Linked DNA regions of Rhinolophus ferrumequinum. The protein of the gene in region 3 interacts with the protein of the main gene of each other region in a pairwise test. Links are inferred from orthologs where the notes say so. Each region holds a gene or a part of one and is shown on either strand. Other genes may lie near its edges. The genes, in order: PRKAA2, POLR2L, REL and GADD45G.

Region 1 (6,927 bases), on a different chromosome or scaffold from region 3:
AGATATCATCAACACACTTCATTAATCACTGAGTGTCTAGGTTTTTTTTTATGGTAGACTGGAGAACAATAACAGAAACACCTTATCATGAATCTATAAGGTCCAGTATGTTCTGGCTGATGCCTAACTCCAACCACACTAGTGACTCCTACCTACCCCAAGATGGAAAATTATGCTTTGTATTTAACAGTTATATGCATAAAATGAACTTATTAAGTTTGACTTCTTTTTAAAGTGCTCTTCCCTGTGTTCTTGTTCCTTAATTCCATAGGTTAATAACCATCTTCTTTATTTCAATTCAACAAATATTTCTGGAATGATGTACCAAGTTCCGTTGGGCCCTAGAAACAGCAGATGGAGTATGTTGTTTATATATACGTATATATATACATATATATAAAATATTAATTTAGACATGAAATATATATATATATATATAAAATAACAGAATCGATAGATGCTGTATTAGCGATATGAAAAAAGTGCTATGGGAATCCTGAAGCGAAATATGCAGTCAAAAAAATCAATCACTTTAGAGGAAGGACAGAATTATCTTTCTATTCTCTCTATAAAAAATGTTACAAAATATGAAGAGGCAATCAAAGAATATACAACCAAAAAATATAGAAAATAAGCATTATAAAGATATGTGGGATAGTTAATTTATATAGATTTTTTTTTTCTGAATTCGGGGATGTTTGTGTTGTCAGTTTAAAAATTATTTGTAGATAGTTTATTTCATTTCAAAGAAATATTTGCTTTCATGACCAATTTTGCATTTTTTTTCCCCATAAAGAGGACCCCCACATTGTATAAACATTAGATGTCACACAGCCCGAATCTACTCAGGTGCCTATAATTTATTTGTAAGGCACTGTTCTGGGAACTGAGGATAACAGCAGTGAACAAAATAGAGAAAAACACTCTCGTGAAGCTTACATTCTACTTGGGAGAGACAGACAAAACAAAAAAAACAGAGTAAACAAGTAAATAGTATGTTAGACAGAGCTGAGGAAGTTAAGGGGATGGAGAGTTCAGGGCAGGGAGTATGAGTGAGGTGAAACTGCAATAAATAGGACTGGTCAGAGCCGGTAGGCCTCACGCAGAAGGTGACCCTGAGAAGACTTGAAGGAACTGGTTGTTGATAATACCAGTGGAATGTAGTTTATTAGATTAGTGGTACTCCATTATTCTCCTATCCAGGCCTTGCTTTAGAATATTTGAAGTAAAGTAACCCCAAAGACCCAGTAGTAGGAGGGTAAAGCAGTAATAGTTGGAATAGGGTTAAGAAGTAAATAGCTGCCTGGTCCACTGAATCTCAGAGATTGGTACTAAATAACACATGGACACGAAAACATCATTGGAAAATAATAAAGTGGGGAATATTGTGCTTACCAGAACATCTTTAGGGAGTGAATCCTCAAGGGGCATGACTGTTAAGGAGATTTGGTCTGATTAACTGTCATACTGTATTGCTCTGTAGGGAGAGGCAAGGATGGAACCATATCTAAAATGTTCAGGGCACTAGAAGGCTGAGTGCTGCCAGACGTTGTCCTTTTCCACCCTTCTCACCCACTTAACATTCAACCTTTTCTCTAAAAGAGCTAAAGGTCAGGAAAAGAGCTAAAAATATAAATTTAAAGGGCATATTATTGGCCTGTCCTAGAAATAAAAAACAAAAAAATCAAAAAAACAAGAATGGGACTACAATTGTGAAGATTTTAAACTTACACGGAGCACCACGTTTTTATAGGCAGCTGTGGTATAGTAGAGGTAAAGGGTAGGTCAAAACTAGATGTGAGGTCTGACTCTGCCACTTAGCTGATTAGCCTTGGACAAATCAGAAAGGGAAAAACTAAGTTTTATTATCTATAAAATGGGGATAATCATAAGTTTCTTTTATGACAATTAAATGAGATACTTGTGTTTAAATGAACTTTTTAATCAACAAAGTATCATACATTTGTTTGACATAAAAATAAAGGTAGTTCATTGTAGCTAGGTAAGGATCATTGTTACGACATGTATAATAACGTAAGTTGTAATTATCAACAAATAGTTAAGACAGTGCAAAATGCCTTAAAATATCTATTTATAGTCTGTCTTCATGTAGCTTCAAGAAAACAATCTAATAGACTTTTCAACATCTTCTAACGGAATGTTAGCACAAGAGACAGACATACATCTTATATCGCAAAAACTGAAGAGGTATTTTGTTTTCTCATTCATCTGAATGAACACTGGAGGAGTGACCCTACCAAATGAAAGTTTAGTATCTAAAATAACTGGCTATTTTCTCCAAATTGCCAGCTAGGTAGAGTGATTCTTAATGATACTTCTTGTCAGCAAGAAAGATGATCGCAAGAATGAATAAAAATAGCCTCTGTTCAACAGCTGTGATATCTATAATTTATAAGCTGTGATCATTTCTCATCAGATTGTTTTGGTGTGTAAACAAGAATGATGTATGTGTGCCATTTGTGTATTTATCGTTTCTTAAAAAACCAATTTTTGTTACCTCGCATTCTTTCTGATCAATACGTTTCTCTCTTTACATATAAACAGTGTGGTAAGTGACTTCTTGTTTGAGGAATGTGACTTTGAAACTCTATTGTCATACACAATGTTTAAAATGTTCAACTAATCCTTACACATTATTATCAAGCAGCCAATATTTTTTCAGCACTGTTAAGATAGGCAACATTAAAGAATAGGACAAGAAAGGGAGGTAGGGAGGGAAGGATATATAATCACTTCATTACTAAATTCTTGTCAGTCTAGTTTCCTCTCACCATTTTTCCCCCCACTTCTATCTTTATCACATTTATTCTTTCATTAATTTGTGCATTTAAATTGCCCTTGCTTTCTTTAAAATTAAAGTTTATTGGGGTGACAACTGTTAGTAGAGTTACATAAACTTCAGGTTTACAATTCTATAATACATCATCTATATATCACATTGTGTGTCCACCACCCAGAGTCAGTTCTCTTTCCATCACCATGTACAGGAAATTGCCCTTGCTTTTAACAATTTCTCTTTGCCCCTATGTATTTTACTTTCTATGCTCACTGCATTCAGTTTCCCTTTTCATTTCTTTCACTGTTTCTGCACAGTTCCATCGCAAACTATTCGACGCTATGTATTAATATAAGCATGTGCTAAAACACAATTGAGCAAATATGCGGCTGTGATTTATTGGAGAATGTTGTGCAAATTAGAATTGAGAGCTCGGGAGGAGAGCGTCTCTTCCACCTATAGGAGAAAATAATCGAGAATTATAATATACGTGGCGGACGACTGAATGGAGCACAGATTTGAGTTCTCCATGTGCCGTGACCTGTATCTCAAACACTCAGCCTGAGCGACTTCCTTGAGGCTCCCTGACTGCTCCCGAATCAAGGCCTTTCCCGTCGCCTCCTACCCAACTTCCCTTCGACTCACGTAGTCGTTTCTACATCTCCTCTCTCCCCACTCTTTGGGTCTGTTTGTCTTTTTTAAAATTCTACTTCCAATCTCTTTCCATTCCCTAGGATTCGGCCCAAATCTCACCCTCACATTGTCCCTCCCTTCGGTGTTCCCCATAATGGGCCCCTATAGCCCACTCTCGCCCTCCAGCCTCTCCCCCAGGTAAAGGGGCGCGGTCCCCTGCACCCCGACCTCGCACACCTGTCATCCTCCGACCCCGCGCCCCCCGCTCGGGGACCCCTCCCTCGCTGGGCGCCCGGGTCCAGCCCCCACTGTCGCCGCCTGTCGCGGGGGCCCCGCGCATTCGCCCCCGCGCCCCGCCCGCCGCTCGCGGGCCTTCCCCACCTGGTCCCTGCCCCCCCGCCCGGCGCCCCCGGCCTCCCCGCGCCGCGGCCCCGGCCCTGCCCCCCGCCCCCACCGCGGGCCCGCTGCACTGTGGGTAAGCGGCGGCGGCGGCGGCGGCCGCACTCGGGAGCCCGCGGCGGCGGCGGCGGCGGCGGCGGAGCCCGGCTGCGCGCGCTGAACATGGCTGAGAAGCAGAAGCACGACGGGCGGGTGAAGATCGGCCACTACGTGCTGGGGGACACACTGGGCGTCGGCACCTTCGGCAAAGTGAAGAGTGAGTACGCGCCCGCGGCGCTGCGGCGGGCCGAGCTGCGGGGGCCCCGGAGCCCCGGAGCCCCGGGCCTGGCGGCAGGTGGGGCGGCCCCGGGCCGCGCGGAGCTGGGGGCCCCGGGAGGGCGGGGGGCAGCGCTGGGCTCCGCCTGGCCCCGCAGCGGCGGCTGGAGCCGGGCAGCGGGCGGGGGATCGGCGCCCGGGTTCTGGGGCCGGCGCCCAGCTGCCTGGCGGGTGTCGGGGAGCAAGGCGCTCCTGCCTCCCGGACCTCGGCGCCCTGTCCTCCGAAAGCGGGAGAGTGGGCTGCTCGGTAAGGCGCCCTCGGCTCTGAGACCGTATGGGTAGGGCTGGGGGATGACATCCGTCACTGATGATTTCCAGTTCCCGTGTCGTGCCAGGTGCCCTGTTCGGTGCTTGACGTGTGATTTCATTTAATCCTAACAGCAACTTGCTGAAGCTGTCATCCTCACCTCGAAGGTGAGAAAACGGGGACCCCTAGAGGTTTAGGACAGTGCCCAAGGTCACACAGAAATTGGCAGAACCAGGATGAAGTGCAAAATGTCTTCCAGTTCTGGCCAGGCTGGAGGTCCTTGCCATCCTGATTCTTTCGTGCTCCAAGACTCTGCGTTGGTGCGGCTGACTGTTTAGGGGATGTTTGGGGGCCGAGTGGTGGGTCGGTCTTTCTGCTGGGCGTGTGAACCGCTGGAATGCAGCTGGATTGGGCCGGGTTAATTACAACGGGCAAGTCTGAAGGTTGGTTGGCGTGTGTACAGTGGTTCTAGGAAGGCTTCTGGGATGAGGGGAGAAAAAAGTTTCCTTGGTGTCGGACCCAGTGAGGTGTGGGGCCGAGGAGGCCAGAACCGCTAAAGCGGATTCTGCTAAGGTCTGTTTTGTTGATGATGAGAGACCATTTTGGATGTAGAAAAACAGGCTGCTATCGGAATTTTTCCTCCATGCTAGTTAACTATTAAACTTTCCTTTTTGTTGTTGTTAACAGGAGTCACATGGGATTTAATTAATTTGTCCTCTTTCCAGAACTAGAACCAGCTTATTAAAAATACTTTGTTTGATTGTTGCAAATCCAGAATTATAAGTAGAATGTTGGCTGTTTAATTCTTTTTGCTTTGGATAGACAGTTTGGAGATTTTATTCTGAGACCTCTATTTCCTTTAAAATTCATATTTTCATCTTAAATCTATTCAATAGAAGAAACGTAGTGTTCATTCCTGTTGCCAGAATCAGCTCTTATTTCCTTACACATATCTGATACCCTTTCAGAAATACAGTTTGTTCAGAAAATACCGATTGAGCACCTCCAATGTGCTAGGCACTGCTGTAGAGAATAGGGATCCAGCAAGGAACAAATCCAGATTAAAATCCCTCCTTTGGTGGAGTTCATATTAGTAGGGGAAGACAATAATCACAGTGTATATGTAAAATGCATAGTATGTTTAGTGCTATTGAGAGAAATGAATCAGGGAAGGGAGGCTAGGGAGTTTTGTTTGGTTAGCAATTTTCAATAAGGTGTCAGGCAAGAACTCACAGACAAGGTGGGGTGTGTGTCCAGGCCTTAAAAGGTGGTAAAATTCTTTGAAGTCCCATGAGGGCTGTGAACTTTTGGGTTGTTTTGGAAAGACCTCATAAATAGAGTGGGTAGTGAGCATATGTTTTAAAATGAATATAGGAAGATCTAGGGATTGGATTGATGCCTGAAACATTACTTGTCATTAAACGGTATTGCTGAGGACTGTTGTGTTTCAGCATGATGCAATTACTCCATCAAATGGTGCATTTGCTATCTGGACATGTATGTACACTCTCAAAGTTAGATAACTTATCCTATGTCCTAAATTGTGTTAACATTTTTGTTTGTTTCTTTAAATTCTTCAACTGTAACATGAATATAGACTAAAACACCCATCACATCAATTGGCCCATTGTCAAGGGACAACTTAAATCTCTTTTGTATGTGTTACTCTTGAGCTGCTTCCAGGCACTGGCTTCTTAAAATATAAACAAACAGAAGGTGCTTTGATTTATGAGAAATCCTTTGCCTGGAGGACCCCTGTCCAATGAGCAACCATGCGGAGGGGTGTCCTAACACTATGTTAGAATCTCTCTAAAGTTAGATTGTGGTTTTTCCATCCACGATTCGAATTAGTACAATTGTTTGTTTAATACAAATTATAGAAGTTGCTACAATCTAAAGTTACTCATTTAATTCTTCAAGGGACAAGAAACAAAAGCACATGCATTTTTAAAAAGAACTTTGTTAGGTATATTGTACATATTATAACGTTAACTCATTCCAAGTGTACAATTCATTGATTTTTAGTAACTTGACCAAGTGGTGCAACCTTCATCATAGATCAATTTTCGAACATTTTTATCACCACAGTAGGATCACTTATGCCCATTTTTAGTTAATCCTCTTTCCTACCCTCAGCCCCAGAAAACTACTAATATGTTTTCTGTCGGTATAAATTTGCGTTCTCTGGACATTTCTTATAACTGGGATTATTCAATATGGAGTCTGTCATGTCTAGCTTCTTTAACAATGTTGTTGAGGTGCATGTACGACATAGCATGTGTTAGTAGCTTGTTCCTTTTTATTGCTGAATAATATTCCAGTGTGTGGGAAGGCCACATTCTGTCTACACATTCATTGATGGACATTGTTTTCAGTTTTGGGTTCTTACAAATAATGCCACCACAAACTCTACTTCACATCTAAGTCTCTGTGTGGACATACGCTTTTATGTGTCTTGGAGATATAACTAGGAATAGTTATATCCCAGGTCATATCATAGTTTTATGTTTAGCTTTTTGAGAAACTGCAAACTTTT
Region 2 (6,361 bases), on a different chromosome or scaffold from region 3:
CACGGGCTGCACACTGCCCACCTGTCCACTCATGCCTGGGGTGGACGGGAGTCCACCGTATGGGTCAGTCCCAGCTCGTCCCTGCAAGCAACCTGACACCCACCCCCAACTTCAGTTAGGCGGTATGAACGGCACCCACCCCAGTGGGGAGGGCATGTGCCTGGGTCCAGGCCCTGGGACCCCATCCCCACCCCTCCACAACTGCTGTGCCTGGGGATGAAGTGTCTGTTGAAGGGTTTTAGGCCCCATGAACTATCAAAGGAAATGGGGGACACACCCGTCCCACTTTCTTTGATGAACCCCCCTCCCCAGGGCTAAGGGGCCCAAAGCCCACAGCAACATTCCGGAAGCTAAAAACCATGCAGCACACACCCACCCACGCAGGCCTGAGGCTGGGTCTGCATATCCCCTCAGCCCCAGATCCCGGCATCCCTCCCCGGCAGGCCCTTACGGCTGGCTCCACCAGCACCTACAACCCTCCTGGGCAGGACAAGACCAGGCTGGCTCCTCCCCATGAAGCCTCCATGCCGCACTTTGGCCCTCCTTTGAGGGCAGAGACTGACAGGTCTGTGTCCCCAGTACAGCTCACACAGCAGGCAACAGCGACAGGGCTGAGTGACAGCCCCAAGACAAATACCACAGCCTGCCAGCCCGGGGCTGGGTCTTTGGGGTTGTGTGAGCCACAGGCCATGGGCACCTACCTGACCACACCAAGGCCCTCTCCAAAAAGGACCTGCCCAAATGCTGAAACAGAGCGTGTGGCGTTGGACTTAGAGGCTGGGGTGGACAAATGGGCGGTTGCCAGTGGCCCACCCTGACCCCAGCAATGGAGCAGCAGCAGGGGTCTGGCCTGAGCACACACCCCAGCAGGGGCAGCTCAGGGTGGAGCATAGATCGCAGATCGGAGCCGCCCACCCCGGCCCCCTGGCGGAGCTGGCTCTGAGGCAGCTTTGAGGAGCCCAGGAGGGCCTGGCCAACACAAACAGGCCTGTGGTGTGGGCCTTCCTGCCACTGCTTCAGCCCCGCCGGGCCCCAGTGCCCACCCAGGTCTGGGGGAGGAGAACACAGACACCCAGGCTGGGCAGGCTGGCATCCCTTCACACTCAGAGCCCAGGCAGGGTCATCTCCCCAGCCCAACCGGGAGCGTCCGGCTGGGAGACACCCGCTCCACGGGAGGGATCCCCGTGGAAGAAGCCACCAAGGGCCCCCTCTCTCCTCCTGGGCCCACCTAGGCCAACCCAAGCTCAGGCCCTCCCTCCCCTGCCCACCCCCCCCCCCCCCCCGTCCCGGCTCCTCCCCCCACCTCAGGTATTTCTCTGCTGAAGGCCATGTAGAGGTAAAGGCCAAGGGGACACAATTAGGATTGGGGGCTGGGGGATACCTTCCCAGCCACCACAGGCCCTGGGAGCACGCTACCTCACATGGCCAGTGTGTGCCTGCCCCACCTCGACAGACACCCCCACCCCGCCCTATGCCACCAGACGGACACCGCAGAGCAGTGCCCTCCCTCAGGAAGCCCACATCAGCCCCAGGTGTGTTCAGAGGCTCATTAGGTTAGAGTCAGTTCGGGCTCAGCACGCCTGCAAACATCACCACTAAGGACTCCCCAGCCCCAAGGGCCGAGAGGGTTAGCATGGGTGCAGCAGGTAGGTGACCCGTCTGACCCTGGGGAGGCATCCGAGCATGTATGTTCAAGGATCCCATGCCACCCTGTACACCCCATGTAAGCACACATGTACCCAAAGCAAGCGGCCAGGGCCTGAGTCCGGAACCCCACACCTGCACAGATAGATCCGGACCCTCCAGCTTGGCAGCTTCTCGTTCCATCCACGCTTTACAGATGGGGAAACTGAGGCTGTGATCCAGGACCAGGGGTTGGGGCCTGTGGCCGGCCTGTTTCCAGGACAACCTTCAGAGCCGGAAGCTCAGCAGCTAAAACTTCAGTCGCTGATTTCCCCTTGTCCCTGGCCTGCCCTCAAGTGACCCTTTCTGGCAGGAAATGTGGCTCACGGGTTCCAAACCACATGTGAGCACAGCCCTCCCTCCTCGTGCTTCCCATCACTGGAGGCAGGACACTCATTCTCGGAAAACCTGTGCCTCACTCTCCGGCCCTCCCCAGAGGCCTGGGCCACATCTGTGCTGACACTCCACACCGAGGGGAGAAGCCAGGGCCCCCACCTACCCCAGCAGGCACGCAGAGCCCCTCCTCCACCAGTGCCCTGGGCCCCCACAGCTCCCTCCTGCCCCTGGCCCCCCCGGCCCTCACCTCAACGTGCAACCCCAACACACACAGACACACATGCAGGGACACAGCCTGTCCGGGCCATGGTTGGGGGGTAGAGCTGACCTCTGAGGTTCCCCTGGGGTCCTCTGGTCCAGCCTGGGCAGGGCTGAGCCAGGCAGAGTTGAGCAGGCAGAACTAAGTGCCCCAAGGGGCCTCCACCCACGCACACGTGTGCTGGGGCAGCGCACACAGGCTGGGCCGGGGCAGCCACTCTGCTCCCCATGGCCTCTCCTGGGAAATCAGGGAGCTGGAGGGAGGAGCTTGGGAAGAGGAGCCAGCGGCCCCCAAATCTACACACAGCTCTCAGAATTCCAGGAATGTCAACTTGGCTCTGGACCGGATCAGGGAGGGAGGCTCGCTGCTCCCCTTACTCTCTCTGCGTAAACAACTGCTCAGGGCAGGAGCTCCAGTGGGACAGGCCCTGGGCCCCTCCTCCAGGAAGCCTTCTGCCCCCACCCACTCCAGCTCCTGAAGGTCCACCCAGCTGACATCCCGATGCCCTCCCGGTCTCCCTCACCTCCACAGCCTCGGGCAGCCTCTGCAGCTGAGCCTGGGTCTGACCCCAGGCCACTGTGACTCAAGGCCCCTATCCTGCCCCTCCAGGCCAGGGACAGGATGTGCGTCCAGTCAGTGTGTATGTGGGGGGGTGTCAGGGAAGGGAAGTGGCTTTGGCTCGTGGCTCTGCACGTGGCAGGGTGGGGGATGGCAAAGAGCACTGGGGAGGCTGTCCAGGGCCCCGGAGAAAGTGGAGGCACAAACTCCAGGCGGGCACCAGTGCCGGCAGCTCCACCCAGGACCCAGGACCCTCCATCTCCCTGCCCCCCAACTAAGGCCTGAGGGGGCAGTTAGCTGACTCCTGGGACCCAACCAGAGATCCAGCGAACCTGCCCCAGAGGCTGCACACACATTAAGTCACAGGTGCCACTTTGCAACACATCCACCCCCTAGAGCCCAAAGCTCACCACCCACACACAGGGAGCCCTCGGGCTTCTCACTGCACACTGCCCGCCCTGCCCAGCCCCCATCTTGGGGCTCAGCCCACCCCATTTCCCGACACACAGCCTCCCTTCCCCTCAATCCTCCGTGGCTCCTGCCCCACCACCTACTCTGGCCCTAGCGCACACCTGTCTGGGACTACCCTGCAGGTACCGACTCCAGACCTCTGCCCAAGGGTTCCTTTTGCCAGGGTCTGCCCTGCTCCTTCACACGCACTCAGGCTCACGCCTGGTGAAATCCTGTACTTTTCAAGGTTCAGCTCAACAGGCGCCTCTTCCACGACGCTCTCCCTGACCACACTCCGGTCCTCAGATCGCGGGGACCCAGCAGAGCTTGGACTGGGGCGGCTGCAGACCCTTCCCGCCCCCCATCCCCTTCCCCGGGAAGAAAGGAGGAGGGACGCGGACCAAAGCAGATCGATGCGGCGCTGTCTGAGCTCACCACCCGGCCGATCGCTCCTAGCGTGCCCTCCCACCGTCGGAACTACAGGTAACTGTTACCTGGCCGGGACCGATATAGCACGGGCGAGCGGGCCTGGAGACGCCCCGAGGGCACTCCCGAACTCAGCCGCAGAGATTCCCGGGCATCCGCGGGCAAGGATTCCGGGCGACAGACCCCTTTCCCGGCCCGTCCAGGAGAGGCAGCGGGAAGACCCGCCCGTGGCCGCCGGCCAGCCTCTCTCTGCCCCCGCTGCGGGGTCGCCGCGCCCGGGCCCCGCCACTTGTTGCTGCGGCTCGACTCGGGGCTCCGCGCTCCGGGCTGGAACTCCGCTCCCGCTCGCTCGTGCCGGGGCGGGTGTCTGATCCCGGCTCTGGCGCGGCGGGCGGCGGGACCCCGACCAGCGGACGCTGTACCTGCGCGCGCAATCCACCCGCCGCGTAGCTGTCAGTCATGCGGACACGAGAAACGCGAACTGCGCCGCCGAGCCCTTACGGCCTCGCTCGGCCACCATAGGCCGGGATGTACCAAAGGGGCGCAGAGGGGACGCCGCCTGCTCCTGCCGCAGCCACGAGGGTTCCGAGACCCCCGATACGCGCGAGGAAGATCGTCGCGACAGGAAGCGGATGCCGACGGCGCGGGGGCTGGGGAGGTGGACTGGGGGCGGCTGGAGACGGGTCCCGTCTCCCCCGCACCATGGACGCGCCCGGGGCGGGGTCGGCTCTCGGGCAGAAGCGCCGCCGGAACCGAAGAGCGCGGTCGTTGTCCCACTGCCGCCATGATCATCCCCGTGCGCTGCTTCACCTGCGGCAAGATCGTCGGCAACAAGTGGGAGGCCTACCTGGGGCTGCTGCAGGCCGAGTACACCGAGGGGTGAGGCGCCGGGCCCGGCGGGGGAGGGCCGCCAGCGCGGTGGGAAGCGTCCCTGGGCCGCCCTGCGAGACGGGCGGGGAGGGCCGGGGGTAACGGGGTCCCGGCCTGCGGGGCGGGCGGTGCCACGCGCATCCGATTACAGGTGACCCTGGAGGGGCTTTCAGTTCCAGAGTCTCTTCCAGCCCTGCTCTCCAGGGGGCTTCTCGGTGTCCTTGTGGCCGGCCGCGGTGCCCCTCCACTGCGGTTAAGCCGTCACCCTGCTCCCTGCCCACCTGCTATTAGATCCACCGCATGTCCCACAAGCCCACTTGTCTTTTAGGCTCAGGGCAGCTTCCTGGCCACATAGCTGTCATTTTGAGGCTGTGGCAGGTCCCTTTTCTGTGCTTGTCCCTTAGCACTGCAGTTACCACCACGGCTAGCTGAGTCTGCTCCCCAGTAGAGTCTCACCCTTGGCCACTGTGTGGACAGCCCATGTCCTGTCACACTTGAACCCCTGGGACCCGGGACGTGCCAACATGCCATCGACTCTCAGGGCAGGTGTGGGGGTGATGATGGGCTGTTGGCACCAGACCCTGCAAAGGCTGCTGGGGTGACCAGAGTGCGTGAGTGGCTGGTAGCCTGCCCACGACCCTCCGTGCAGCACCATGGGCAGGGACCTTCCAGCCTGGCCTCCCCATTGCCAAGCTGCCATCTCTGCACACTGGGGCCAATGGTGTGGGAATTTTCTGGAGGCCTCGAGGGTGACTAATCTTGGTCCCAGGGAATTGGGGACTCTAATTTGCGTCAGAAATGGCTCCCTGGAGAGATGCCTCCCTTCCCAATGTGGAAGCAGGGCTGAGGAAAGATCCCACAGCAGCTGAGTGAGGCTTCCATCTGCCTGGGCTTTTGGGGACCGACAGATCACAGCCTGTCTTCTGCCTGCAGGGATGCTCTGGACGCGCTGGGCCTGAAGCGCTACTGCTGTCGCCGCATGCTGCTGGCCCACGTGGACCTCATAGAGAAGCTGCTCAACTATGTACCCCTGGAGAAGTGAGTGAGCACCCAGCATGCTGCTGGCCCACGTGGACTTGATAGAGAAGCTGCTCAACTATGTACCCCTGCAGAAGCCCGGGAGCACCCAGCAGTCTGTCCTGCCCAGAGCCCCTCCCACTGAAGCGTGGGTAGCCAGGAGCAATGTCTGCTCACAGCTGTGTGGGCGTTGGTCTCCTGCTCTGGCAGGAGCCATCCAGTAAAGGTCTTTGCAGAACCACAAGAAGGTCCTGACAGTTGGTCTGGCTTTGTGCGACTCCCTGCCACTGTGTACCTGTGTCCTGCCTCATGCCTGAGGCCACTTACTGCCCAGGAAAAGGGATAGCCATCCCCATGGCAACTGCTCAGCCTGGGGTGTCTCCCTCTGGAGGGGGTGCTCTCAGGCCACCAAGAGCACTAGGGCACTGGCATCTCCACCCATGTGTTCTGTGTACTCTAGGTCAGCACAGCACAGAGGTCCCCACATCCTCTCTTCCCAGGATCTAAAGAACCAGATTTTCTGGGCCCTGAATAGAATGCCTGCTGTGGTCATGGCTGCCCATCCTGAGCGTCCTGCTGCCAGAAGCTTCCAGGCTCCACCCAAGCCCAGTAGACCCCTCGGCCAAGTTCCTGCAGGAGGCGGGGCAGCACTCAGGCTCCCCACCCAGCCCGGAGACCCTACAGTAGCTCTGCGGGTTGTCAGGGCTGGCTGAGCTCCCAGTGCCGTGGGCATCAGCATTCAACCCTGCGGGCCAGCCCGGA
Region 3 (6,868 bases):
TTATCTCTATATTTTCATGTACTGCATTTCCAAAACAGCCTTTATGTTTACATGTGTAGTCTTCTACATTAAAAAAAAAAGAAGTCATTTGCTTTAGTTATCAATTCCAGCTTCCAGCTCTATCATTAAAGATTGAAGTTGCAACATACTTACATTCATATTTTCCCCCCTTACTCAAGGGAAACAGTTCTCTTGAAATTCATACAGCAGACAAAGAGTTGGTAAGTAGTGTGCGGTTTACAAAAACAATTTCTTAGTGTACTTCCTACTCCGTGACAAAGCAGAACTATACTAAAGAAAACTAGGAATAAAAATTATCTAAATGTTAAAACGTATTTTACCAAAGACAGTACTATTTATTAGTAAATAGAGCCAGGGGCACACAAGAACATTTTACACTTTCTACTGGAACAATGAGAAGCTTTAAATTCTGATATAAAAGAGCTAATTTTACTTAAAATGTACAAGAGTAATGATTGCCTAACTATGCTATGCATACCCTAGATGGGTCTGGGTACATTTTTCTTCACAATGCCTATTTTAATTCATCATGTCAAAAGACTGAAACCAAGGTGTAATTTTAAAAAAGCAATAAAGACAGCTTAATAGAACCTAAACTGGGAAATCCTGAATAATCTGACAGCTTACCTGAACAAAATTTAGAAATATGTATCAAAGTACCAGTTACTCATGGTTCTTATAAATTTGCTTATGAGATTATGATGTTACTTTTTACGTTATGCAGATCATATATTCAACTACACACACATATTTACATATGACATCCGGGGAGAAATGTAGAAATGGTCTTAAAATCTTTGTAATCAATAAAAATACTTTTTGAGTTTTAATACTACCTTACTACAAACAGAATCTAAACTAGATAATGATAAACTAATTTAGCACTTTTTTCCCCTGTGATTCTTTTGGTTAAATTACTGTTTCAAAACAGGATAGGAATTGATAATTTAGTCACTCTTCCTCTAAGGTCTTTAAAATTAATTAAGGAAAGTACACCCCGACTTCTTTTTAAAAATTTGCTTAGCAGTTTTCAAACAATTGAATTATAATTTAAATAACATGTTATGATTACAACTTTCCATTCCTTATTCCCCCCCCCCCGTTCAATTGAGGGTCCTCATAACATCACAAAAATATAGTGTCATTAAATAATTTTCAATTGTATCACAGTTTTAAATGATGTAGGTCTTACAATACCTATGTAAACATGGTTACTTCTTTTCTCTCTTTTGAAAGAATTGGGAGTATTACATTCATGCCATGTATTAACAAAGTTCGCTTAAATTGCCAGCAGGCTGACCTTTTTCTTTTATTTATAATACTCGCTATTCTTTACTATTTTTATACAAAATTTCTTTCTGATAACCAATAAATTAATCAAATATTTTAAGTCATCTTTGCAGTTTTAATCTAAACGGCCTTTGAATTATCTGAAAGTTTGGGGGTCACTGAAGTGGGTTAAGAGAAAGTTGAAATATTTTAAACTCCACTTGTATGCTCACATGAAAACCACAGACAAACTGAAATCAAATGTCGTGTGAACTACCCCAATTTCCTTTTTAGCCTACAGCAGTAGCTATGACATTTTTCTGTTCAACCCCTTTAAAAAGTCCTCTAAGCTTTCTACTTCCTCTTCTCTGCTAGACATCAACCTTCTGCTGAGGGTCACTGTACCAGGGAGTTGGGAGGATGCGGGTCAAGCATAAACAAGGCCCCCCCTCTTCAACTTGTCAGTACAGCGTTCAGGAGTAACTTGTAAGCCTCCGTGACCGCTCACGCTGCTCCCTCTGCCGGGAAAGCGCCCTCGGAACCCGGCCAGAATCCTGTAAAGGATTCTTCACTTACTTCCCTTCGGTCACAGGCTGACCTAAACCATAGTTGTATATTCCGGACCGGTATGAGACTCACCCCCTTTCCTCTGAACTCTTTCTTGGTAAATTCGTTTCCCCTCAAAGCAAGAGATTCACGCATTTATTAACTGAAAATAAACATTTACACAAGTGATAGGAAATTCTTTTACTCCCTACCCATATTTTGAAGCACAAGTATTCTAAAATTCCTCTTTCCCCCTTCTTTCCAACAAAGGAGGAAAAAAACAAAACCAAAGCAACATGACTTCTGCTCCGTAAGTTAGAACGTGCGCACTGTGCAGTAAAATCTATCCACCGTGTTGAAGCAACATTTCCACTTAAGACCTGTTAAAACACCACCGGTGACTTTTAAAGCCACACGTTTTGTACAACTGTCAGCACAACAGCGATCACCTCTTGGTACTTGATGAAATTAAACTAAAAAACTCAGAGCTTTTCAGAGGTCTGAAGGTTCCTCATTCCTGTTGTAAAACATAAAACCACCATTTCGATGTAAACCAATTTTTAAATACGCGAACTCCTAGTCCTCCATTTAGATTCTCATTACTTCCCTAGTCCTAAAACAGAGTCGTTGGGAATTTCTAAGGTTCCGGCTACTATAATGGCATCAAATTACAGAGCGTGACTTTGATTTCGCAGGCAAACCCCCGAACCACCTTACTTGTTACAAGGTTGACAATTTGCCAGACCGGGCAATTTTAGAGAGAACGCGCCACAATCAAAACTGAGCGGCAAAGCCCCGGGACGAGCCCCAGGTTCCCCCCAGCTCGGGCACCGCCGGTGGCGCCCAGGACACTCACCCGAAGCCATGACTCCGTTCACCGCGCCGCTCCGCTCCACTCCGAGCCTCTGGACCGGAGGCCGCCGCTGTCAGTCAGCCCGCCAGTCAGTCCTCTGCCGGCGGGACCCCCTGTCCCACTGACCACCGTCGGGGCCTCCTCCTCCTTTCCGCCCTGCTTTGGTTTGCGGCTCACACCTTCCCACCCCCTTAATTCTCGCGCCCCTGCTGTCCCCGGCCTCGCCCGTCCAGGGTGCTGGAGCCAAGGGTAGGGGGGCGGAGCGCAGCGAGAGCCCAGCACCTCAGGGCCAGAGAGACCCGCGCCTTAGCGGGAGGGGGATTTCCCGCAGCTGACGTAGGCTCCTCACCGCCGCCCTCTCTGGGGGCGGGAGGGCGGAGGGGCGGGGCGGCTAGCGCGCAACCGCACACGACGGCCCGCGCTCCGCCCCGCCCGTACCCCGCCCCCGCTACCACCCCGGGTGCAGCAGTGGGCTCGGGACCCCGTCGGGGGAGCTGGGGCGCGGGATCTTCGGGTATGCAGGGAACACGGGGAGCCGAGAAGTGACGGCCCCGAGCGTGCGAAAGCCGCCAGCTCCTTAGAAATCCCCCTCCTCCGGGCTGTTCTTCGGCGCGTGGTTTAAAGTTCAGAAGCGGGTAGGAGGGTGCGGTGACGTCGAGAGGGCCGGCTGCCGGGGAGTACTTGGGGCGGGCCGGCCGGCGAAGTGGGGCCAGCCCTCCCTGGCTGGAGCAGGGGGGCGGGGCGGTACTAAGGCCCGGGATTTTCGATGGGTGGTTCCCCCTCTTCCCTATTTCGCACATGCAAATCTCCGCCTCCGCACAGGCGGGCGATGCAGCGCTACTGTCGCGGAGTGCCCTAGAGGGGAAGTGCGGAAGTGGCTGTCGCCAGTATTCGTGTGTAATGCATGCATTTGCATACGGGGACCCCCGCAGTCTGATTTTCCCTCTTTACATCTAAATTGCGAGGACTCAGTTAACTTTACGGATTTTACCTACTAACTTTTTAAACTCCTAAGGTCCGCACTGCGAGTTCGTTGTCTCATTTAATGCACTGCTCAAGATTAGTGGGGTCGACTCTATCGTGGGATTTGATAGAAATACCCATGAGGCGGGGGAAGGAACGAACTGTTTAGTATGTTAAAGGAATCGAGTATTACTGTGTTTCCTTTATGTGCTAAGAACCTTGTATGTATCAGTTGATTTACCTCATTTATGACATAGTACCCTCATTTTATAGATGAGGTAATCGTGGTTCAGAGAAGTAGTACTTCAGAGAAATTAAGTTCATACTTCAGAATACTGGTAAAAAGAAAAGCACAGTTTAAACCCAGAGTCTCACTCCAAAGCTCCACGCTCTTCCCACTACCCCTTGCAGTATGAAATGACGAAGAGTGGGGAACGTGAGCCTGCTATACAAGTGCTGAAGTTGGAGGACACAGTGGGGAGAGGAAAGAAAAAAACACAAAAATTTCCTACGAACCCCAAAATATCCTTTCCACAAAATGCAGAAAAGTAGAAAAGAATGAAAGGATTGAATAAGCATTAAACCATACTGTGATGCACTGAAGAGATTGCAAAGACAAAAAAGAAATCTCACTTGGTAAGGAGGATAGATTTTATTCCAGTTGCACACAGAAAGCTATGAAGAGTTTTAAGTGTGTGATTGACATTACATTTTGAGATGTTTACTCTGAGTGATGTGTTAAACTGTTAGTATACACTAACTAGGGGCAAGGGTGAATGAAGGCAAAGCAGTTAAGAGGTTGTTGCAGTAGTCTGAGAAGTAAAAGTGGTTTCAACTAGTGTTTTTGCGGAGGAGATGGTGAAACGAGGTTAGATTTAGTAAGATATTTTGGTAACAGAACCAGATGGCCTTGGTAGATGGGAGGGGAGAAAAGGAATCAGGGAAACTCACATTTTTGGTCTGAGCAACCAGGTAAAAAGGAAGGCTGGTGAAGAAAAACATTTGAGAAGGAAAATCAGGAGTTGTGTTTTGGATACCTTACATTACAGATGCTTATTAGACATCCTGAAGTAGACAGTTGAATATGCAGAACTCAAGCTAAGGGGAATCAGGGCTAGAAATAAAGATTGGGGAGTCAGTAGCATTTCATTTACGATAGTACTACCTAAAGAAATGGTGCAGATAGAGAAAAAATTAAAAAGAGCCCTTGACCCTCCAAGTCGAGAACTAGTAGAAAAGAAAGAGCTGCCAGTGAAGTAGAAAAACCAATAGACTAGTGTCCCAGAAGGTTCAAAAGGAATGGAAGTCAGCTGTGTTAAATGATGCTGAGAGAATGAAAAAGATGACAATAAAGAAATGACCTTGGGGCGGTAGGTTGGCTCTGGGTTAGAGCGCAGTGCTCATAACTTCAAGTCACTGGTTCAGTTCCCACATGGGCCAGTGAGCTGTGCCCTCCACAACTAGAGTGAAAACAGCAGCATGACTTGGAGCTGATGGGTCCTAGAAAAACACAGTTCCCCAATATTCCCCAATAAAAATTAAAAAAAGGAAAAAAAGAAATGACCTTGGCTTTGGCAAGATGAAGGTCGTTAATGACCTTGATAAGAGCCATGTCAGTGGAATGGTGGGGATGAGGGCTGAATGGGAGGAAGTTGAGAAGAGAATGATGGAAACGATGAGTATAGACAACTCTTCAAAGAGTGTTAAAGGAAATAGAAATGGGGCATTAGCTGGAAGGCGATGTGGCGTTATTTTAGGCTAAGGGCTATCACTGACAACTACAGTCTCAACCAGTTAACATAATTAAAGTTTATCATTTGAGTCACAGTCCAGTGTGAGTTGAGTGACTTTCTCTTCCAGGAGTAACCCAGGGACCGAGGTGACTTCAATCTTGTAGCACCAAAATGTGGCCTTCAAAGTCACGTTAGAAAAGGAAAGAGAGAATGAGAGATTTTTATGGGCCAGGCCTGAAAGTGAAATACGTTACTTCTGGTTGCAGTCTACTTTCCATGTGGCCTCCCCAAGGGGACTGAGAAATATAATTTGAGAAACGTAATTTAGCTGTGTGCTCTGGAGAAGAGAAGAAAATGATTATCAGCACTAGCAAGCTCTGGAACTGAAGTTTATTTTGTTTGTAGAGGGTGATATTAAGGCATATTTGTATAACAGTGAGACTGACTCAGTAGTGAAGGAGAAATGGATGATAAAAGAAAGGAAGGGGTTGATGAGTAAGGAAGAAAGGATGAAATCTAGAGCACAGGTATAGGGTTGGCAGTAGATTGGAATGGAGACACTTCTGTGGTAACAAGAAGGAAGACAGAGCAGATGCAGAGAACATGGTACTTGATGGTATGAAAATGAGGTAGTCAAACTGCCTTTTTTTTTTTTATAGTGAAGTATGAGGTCAAGTTCAACCGAGAGTGAAAGGCAACGAGGGAATAGGAGATTCGAGGAAGAGGAGAAGCTGAAAATGTGGTCTTGAGAGTGGAATTTTATAAGGTATATCTGGCTGTACTGAATGTCCATTTGAAATTTGTGGTCATAAATGTAATTCAGACCAGTAAACAGTATTTCTTATATGGTTTTTAACCCAAGGGTTATCGATGCGTAATAGTATGAAAAAGAAGACAAAGAACTAGGAAAATTGAAGTCTGAATGGGAATGCTGTGTTTCCCCGAAAATAAGACCGAGTCTTATATTAATTTTTGCTCCAAGAGATGCATTAGGGCTTATGTTCAGCGGATGTCATCCTGAAAAATCATGCTAGGGCTTATTTTCTGGTTAGGTCTTATTTTCGGGGAAACATGGGATGAGGGAGAGATGCATAATACCTCTCAACCCACACACACTCGTTGGATAATCTCATCCATTCTCATGATTTTACCCATGGTCCCAGGACCATATATCCAGCCTGAATCTTTCCCTGGGCTTTAGACCTACATATCTAATTGTCTGCTGAACACCTCCAAGGGGAGACTCATAGGCATCCCAAACTCAACCTACTCAACATCTCTTTCCAAGTTTACTCTTACTCCCATATTCCTTATGCCACCATCCACTGATATACAGGTTAGAAAATCGGGAGCCATCGTTGACTCTCTCTCTCACCAACTCCCACCAACCCCACAACATCCAGCCACCAAGTCCTACTGATTTTATAATCAAATATGAATCCATTTCTTTTCCATCTTGATTGCCACTGTCCTTGTTCAAATC
Region 4 (6,083 bases), on a different chromosome or scaffold from region 3:
TGTAAGCGCCATTCCTTTAAAAGGAGAATGTTCCTGAGAGCAGTCTGCTGCCATCCTCAGGGACCACAAAAGGCAGCGCCTGAACAAGGCAATGCTCATTGTGCAGGAAGGCTGCCTGCCTCCTGCAAGCTGTTCCGATAAGCAGCTGTCGAAAGGGAGGGGGCCGGGAGAGGAGGGGGAAGGGAGGGGGAAGCTGCTGTTATCAGGTTGGATGGCCAGCCTTCAGCTGCTGCACTGATGTCTTATCTCAACTCTGCTCCTGTCTTGCTAGTTTAAAAATCTTCCTAAAAGGAGAAAAATAGGAGCAGGTCTCAAGTCCTGCGAAACTCCCTGCCAGCACCTCCTCCCCCACTTCCAGTGCCCAGTAATTCAAAACAAGAGCCTGTAATTCAGCCCAGACAGGAGGATGGAACAGGTGCCACCGAGTTCCATGAGTTGCAGCACTCATCTGCAACCCTGCTGACCACCACCCCCTCAGAAAGGACCCCCAACCCTCAATAAAGAAAATAAGTTCGTTTCAGTTAAGTTTATTGCAAAATTCATAACTGCAGCAGCATAATCCTTTAGAGAACGAAGCACTGCCAGGATCCGTTTTGAAACAGCAGTGCAGACTGCTAGGTCCGTCAGAGCTCCGGTAATTGTATAAGTCCAGGCCGCCTGGCCTCGCCTTTCCTCTGCTTCCTGCCCACAGTTCAGGCTGCTGAGTCACGCCTGCCCAGCCAGTCCGTCCTTCCCGGCCCCGTGGCCAACGTCCCGCCTCCGGCCTTCCAGGGCGAGCAGCCGCTCCCCACACTTGTAGAGTCCTCGGCTCGGGGCCAGCCTGCCCCTGCCGCCGCCAGGCCCCCTGGTCGAAGGGAGCCGCGCCTCTTCGCCGCTCTCTCCACGCGACCCCGCCTGCCAGTCTCCACGCCAAACTCCGGCGCCCTCCGAGAGCGCATCCACAGAGCCAGCCCCGCGCTAGGCGCCCCGGGGCGTCTCCACGTCGATCAGACCAAGGACCCCCCCACAGGGCTGTCACTCGGGGAGAGGAATACTGGGAACCCAGTCGTTGACACTGCGGCTTTCCTCGCAAAACAGGCTGAGCTTCTCCAAAGCGGGGTCCTTCCACGCGTCCTCATTGGGGTTCTGCGGGGAGAGCGCAGAGGTCAGCCTCACTGGCGACAGGCCGCTGGCCCGGGCGGGGGCGACACGGGGAGGAGTACACTCACCGAAATGAGGATGCAGTGCAGGTCTCCCGGTGCGCCCGCCTCGTCGCCGGCGCCCACGATGGCCGCCAGCCGCTGCACATCGCCCACACGCACGATGTCGATGTCGTTCTCGCAGCAGAACGCCTGGATCAGCGTGAAGTGGATCTGCAGCGCGATGTCGCCCTCGTCCTCCTCGTCCGCTGCCAGCACGCAGAAGGTCACGTTGTCGGGGTCCCTGCGCGCGGAAGGGGGGTGATGAGGTCAGGGCACCACTGACCAGGGGGTGCCCCCGATGCTGCTTCCCAGGTCTTCCTGCCGCTCCCCCAGCCCCAGGTCGCCTCATCCCAGCCGCGTTTATACTCACACGTTCAGGACTTTGGCGGACTCGTAGACGCCGGCGGTGAGACAGCCCTGGCGCTGCGCGGACAACAGCAGCTCGTGCAGTGCTTTCCCGGCGCCCTGCATCCTGCGGACAAACCAGCGCCGTGAGTAGGACTACCCAGAGCGCGGCGTGGTCCCCAGCTACTAGGACGCACCCCCGGCGCCCCAACCCTGTTGACATACCCCCGCCCGACTCTCTAGCCAGCGGGGTCCCACCCCGGCGGGCTCTTAAGGCTCTCGCCCGACCAACCGTGGCAAGGGCAGAGCGAGGTTCCCCGCGCCCCGATACGTCCGGCACCCGGTGCCCACCCACCTGGCTGTGCTTTCAGGAACCGTGTCCAGGCAGCGGACTTCTTCCAAAGTCATCGTGCGGTAAGGCAAGCAGCAAGTTATCCACAAGAGGAGCAGACGAAGCGGACCAACAGGAGACGATGAACGGCTGAGAAAGCCTGCAGCTGGTACCGGCGCGCCACCGCCAGCTAGTGCGCCGAGGTACGGCCGCGCGCCCTTATATAGACCAGGGCCGAAGCGCCGCCAGCTGGCGCGAAACTGCGAGCCCATTGGCCAGCGCCGGCTTTCTGATGCAAATGAGGCGGCGGCCAGGGACTCGTGCCAGAAGGCCACGTGGGGAGGGCTGCGGGGGATGACAATGCCTCAAATCTGCCGCTTTTGTCGGGGTGTTACTAGGCAGACTGGAACCTGCAAATTTCATCTCCTTTTTTTGTTGTTCTTTAAAAGTCCTTAAAAGGAAGAAGTTATTAAAACAAACAAACAAACGACCTTACTTGCTAATAGGTCGCTACAATTTGTGAAATGCACCTTTGGGGAACGTAAAAAATTTATTTTGCATTCATTTTATTTTTGCTGTTTCTTTTCTATTTTTGTCTTTACTTTTAATTTGGACTTCAAGAGACTGTTGTTTTGAAACCGGAACTTAAAGTAAAACCTCGCAGCACTGGCTTTAAGCTTGCAAAAGGTCTGGGCGCAGCCCCTTCCAGCTGACACTTATGCCCCCGAGCGCGCCGGCAAAGCCGCGGTGCACGCTCAAAGCCCCGATCCGACAGCGCTGGAGGGTCGGAGCCAAGCTCCCCGCCGGCAGCAGAGCACTGCGGGGCGCCGGGCGCGCGAGCAGATTGGGGCCGGCGCACGCGGCTCGTTTGCATTTCTATGGAGGGCGCACAATAGCAGAGGTCTGGCGTGTGGCTGTTTGCAGAAAAAACAATCGAGTCTTTCTCTTCATAGCGACACTGCCCACCTGCCGCCGGGTGGGATGGGCAGGGCGGCGCCGCGCGTGGGGGTCTCCGGGCTGCCCGGCCCTTGGGGGACGGGGTCGTGTGCTGCTTCTGCGCCCCTCGGTGCGCGTCCCTCTGCACCCCGCGGCCCATTTACGTGTAATTCGGCCCCACCAAGTCCTGGCAGGCAAGCCAGATGAAAAAAACACCAGGCTGCTATACTATCCAGGCAGCCAGGTGCGCTCCGCCGAGACCTCGAGGCTCCAGTCCCCAAGAGCTTGGGGCGCCATCTACAGGCCGGGTAGAAAGATCCTGACCACCCCTCTTCCCCACCCACACCCTCACCCCCCAATTTCCAGTGGCCTCTGGCGGGTTGACCTCCAGTCTCGGGGTGGCCCTGACAGGATCCGCTGAGCCCCATCCAAGCTACCATTGATGGAAGTCAGAGTAAGGGCTGCAAAATCCACATGGGGAGAAGGTGGGCGCGAATCATGGAGGAAGAGCCCATATTTCTTATGCTATTTTGGAATTTTTGTGTTATTTAAATATGTATATATAAATGTTGTTTTCCAGTAATAGAATAGTAAAACTGGAAGAGCCCTTGAGAGGGTTTAGTAGAAATTGCCGTGATGTGACCATTTTGGACCTACAAGCGGGCACTTTCAGATGGTTCGCCCCCTTTTGGTATCTGCATCTCTCTGCGCTACACTAAAATACGCACTGGGATGCACTTCATTGACCTCACTTTTCTAGTCGAGGACTTGGAGACTGGGCAGGACAGTGGGCGGGCGGGGGGATTCCTGGAAGCCCAGGCTTGAGTCAAGACAGAAGATAATGAAGAAAAATAACCGACTGAGCTGGCGGCTGGTGCCCCCCAGTGGTTTGCTGGCAGAAGACAGCTGCAAAATCAAGGCCACCTCCTTGATTCCTAGTTGCGGGTGTTTGCTTACCTAACATTCCTGAAACCCAAGGTGTCTTATCGCGGGAGCCAGGTGGCATAGTTTATTTGCTATTGTTTCCTTTCTTTCTTGATGATATATAAAATGATGGTGCCTTGATTGGATAAAATCTGTTTAGTTTTAAGTGATTGAGACTTAAGTATTGTTCTTTTTAAAGAATTAAACATTTCTTAAAATGTATTTATTCTGGGTCCCCAGGAAATATTGCAAATAAGACTTATTTGACATCTTAGCCCCGCCCCATTTATAACACTAGAAATCTGCCTTCACAGCAGGCCTCGGCCCCCTGCTCCCAGACAGAGTAGGCCACTGGACAGGCCAGAGTGGGGAGGAGGACAGCATTTCCGCTTGGTACTAAGCCAGCCCTGAGGAAGAGGCCTGATTGACAACCTCCTGGGGCTTTTCTACTTTGCTCAGATTTTTAAGGTATTCCATTTCAGGAAAACCACCTTTCTGACATAGGATATGACTTCACATGGGTTTATGAAGTCAGTCTGAATGGCCCCAAAGACCTCATCTCAATTAGGAAGGAAAGAAACATTTTATCCAGAGGCAATGTTGGCCCTCCACCAGACCCCACCCCCAACCCCACCCCGCAGTTTAGACAAATGCAGAAGCTGCAGGGTCTGGGACAGCCCAGTTCCCATCACACTACAGGCAGGCCGTGGGTGAGGCTGCACCCCATTCCGGGTGACCTTCAGACGCCTTCCAGCCCTGCCCTGCAATAGAAGACACAGCTGACAATAGCAAGTGGCTCACTTATCCGGCTGCGATGCCATTATGCTCCCAAACTGCATTCAGCCAGTGTCTAGCCTGCTGGAGCCCCAGGTCCTAGACGGCTGTGATGTCACCCCAAGCTCCCCATGACTGCACCCCTAAACATTCCCTTAACAGTGCAGGTGATGGTGACTTTATTAAAGAGACACCCTTAGAGATGCTCTGTTTTTAAAAGCCTTTGGAAATGTTCACAGTATAACCATTTTATTAACACATTCTTGGAAATGCACTTCTTAGTCACCCTCATTACCTGACTGAAATGTTGGCAGAGTCTGTTGATTTGAGTATGGAAAGAAATGGGCTTTAAGTAAATAGTCAGCTTTATGAGATAGCCCCTATTGCAATTTCTCAAATCATTTGCTTTTGGAGAGTGCACTCATGCTGTCTTTAAATAGCCCCGTTCATTCCCCTGTGACTGCAGCCCCACCACAGGCTGCAGGCCACGGACTGCTCAGAGCTCCATACTACCTGCAGGCAGAGTCCTTTGGCTGATGGGGTGTCTTAGGAAAAGTCCAAATCATTGCCACCTTTCAAAACCAGCAACTTTCACATAAAACTCTGGAATTCCAGTTTCTTTTGGAAAATGAGATTTGGCCCCCACTATGCCTGCAGTCACCACCACCCCGATACACCACAGTAACCGTCAGTGAAGGGGAGGCAGTGGGACCCCAGAAGGGCACTGCTCTCCAGTTCACCACTGTCCCCTTCACACCCTCATGAGGATTCCTGCGGCTTCGTTCATTTTCATGACCTGCTTGTCCCCTGCAGGCCTTTACATTTGCAATCTTTAAAAAGAAACTGAAGTTTGAAAAGCAAAATAAAGGGACCAGGTTCTTACAAGCTCAAATAGGGCAAGCATTATTTGTGTCCCAGATTCTGCAGGACAGGTCTCCTGTGCTGGCACAGGGCGCTGGGAGCAGTCTGGGTTGGCCCCTTTCCAAATGGCGGGGGAGTTGCTCTCACTCCCTCACCCCCACCCCTTCATCAGCCCCTTCTCAGGCAGGACAGGTCTCCTTGGATTTCAAAAAGAGCGTTTGTTTTTCCCAAAAAACTCATGGATGGCGTGGGGGGAACAGCAATGAGTTGGTGACAATAATACATTAACTAAGAAAAGAAACCAAATCTTTGTGCAATACACACACTTAATATTTAAAACCTGCAAAGTCATCTCAGATGTGTCCCAGCATTTAACAGGCACACTACAGCACCACCCCCCATGCACTGCCGTGCCCCCACCCCACAAAATGTGAGGTCTGTAGATGGGGAGCCTTTAGATCACAGCTGAGATAGGAAGCAGGAAACTGAAACGGGAAATCCCCATAGAGCATGAGCCGGGTCTCCATGGTCAGTCCCCGGATTGGGGGGGGGCTTCCTAGAAGGAACAGTTATTCTTGGGTGAGCAGTTGCGTAGCATGTGAAAGGGCCCTTGAAACTAAGGGGGTGAGGGCAAATCATTCATGTACATGGTACTTTCTCAGTCCCAAGTCACAAATGACTGTGACACGTGTCATAGCGATAAGCAGTAGCACAGCAGCTCTCACTGTAGT

The links.
Region 1: the proteins of REL (region 3) and PRKAA2 interact in binary tests that used the Homo sapiens proteins (3 or more experiments, as listed by UniProt). The link is inferred for Rhinolophus ferrumequinum from reciprocal best matches to the Homo sapiens genes REL and PRKAA2.
Region 2: the proteins of REL (region 3) and POLR2L interact in binary tests that used the Homo sapiens proteins (3 or more experiments, as listed by UniProt). The two-hybrid records come from large-scale screens. The link is inferred for Rhinolophus ferrumequinum from reciprocal best matches to the Homo sapiens genes REL and POLR2L.
Region 4: the proteins of REL (region 3) and GADD45G interact in binary tests that used the Homo sapiens proteins (3 or more experiments, as listed by UniProt). The two-hybrid records come from large-scale screens. The link is inferred for Rhinolophus ferrumequinum from reciprocal best matches to the Homo sapiens genes REL and GADD45G.

The regions. Positions count from the first base shown.
Region 1 is NC_046292.1:40,695,621-40,702,547, forward strand, and holds the start of PRKAA2 (5'-AMP-activated protein kinase catalytic subunit alpha-2), read left to right. Parts: upstream 1-3,905; 5' UTR 3,906-3,991; coding exon 3,992-4,085; intron 4,086-4,255; exon of another isoform or gene 4,256-4,391; intron 4,392-4,422; exon of another isoform or gene 4,423-4,558; intron 4,559-6,927. UniProt on the Homo sapiens protein: Catalytic subunit of AMP-activated protein kinase (AMPK), an energy sensor protein kinase that plays a key role in regulating cellular energy metabolism.
Region 2 is NC_046294.1:511,308-517,668, reverse strand, and holds POLR2L (DNA-directed RNA polymerases I, II, and III subunit RPABC5), read left to right. Parts: upstream 1-4,349; 5' UTR 4,350-4,496; coding exon 4,497-4,591; intron 4,592-5,515; coding exon 5,516-5,624; 3' UTR 5,625-5,843; downstream 5,844-6,361. UniProt on the Homo sapiens protein: DNA-dependent RNA polymerase catalyzes the transcription of DNA into RNA using the four ribonucleoside triphosphates as substrates.
Region 3 is NC_046296.1:28,081,293-28,088,160, forward strand, and holds the start of REL (proto-oncogene c-Rel), read right to left. Parts: upstream 3,026-6,868; 5' UTR 2,703-3,025; coding exon 2,693-2,702; intron 1-2,692. UniProt on the Homo sapiens protein: Proto-oncogene that may play a role in differentiation and lymphopoiesis.
Region 4 is NC_046295.1:4,408,529-4,414,611, forward strand, and holds GADD45G (growth arrest and DNA damage-inducible protein GADD45 gamma), read right to left. Parts: upstream 2,215-6,083; 5' UTR 2,130-2,214; coding exon 1,882-2,129; intron 1,654-1,881; coding exon 1,552-1,653; intron 1,423-1,551; coding exon 1,209-1,422; intron 1,126-1,208; coding exon 1,015-1,125; 3' UTR 512-1,014; downstream 1-511. UniProt on the Homo sapiens protein: Involved in the regulation of growth and apoptosis. Mediates activation of stress-responsive MTK1/MEKK4 MAPKKK.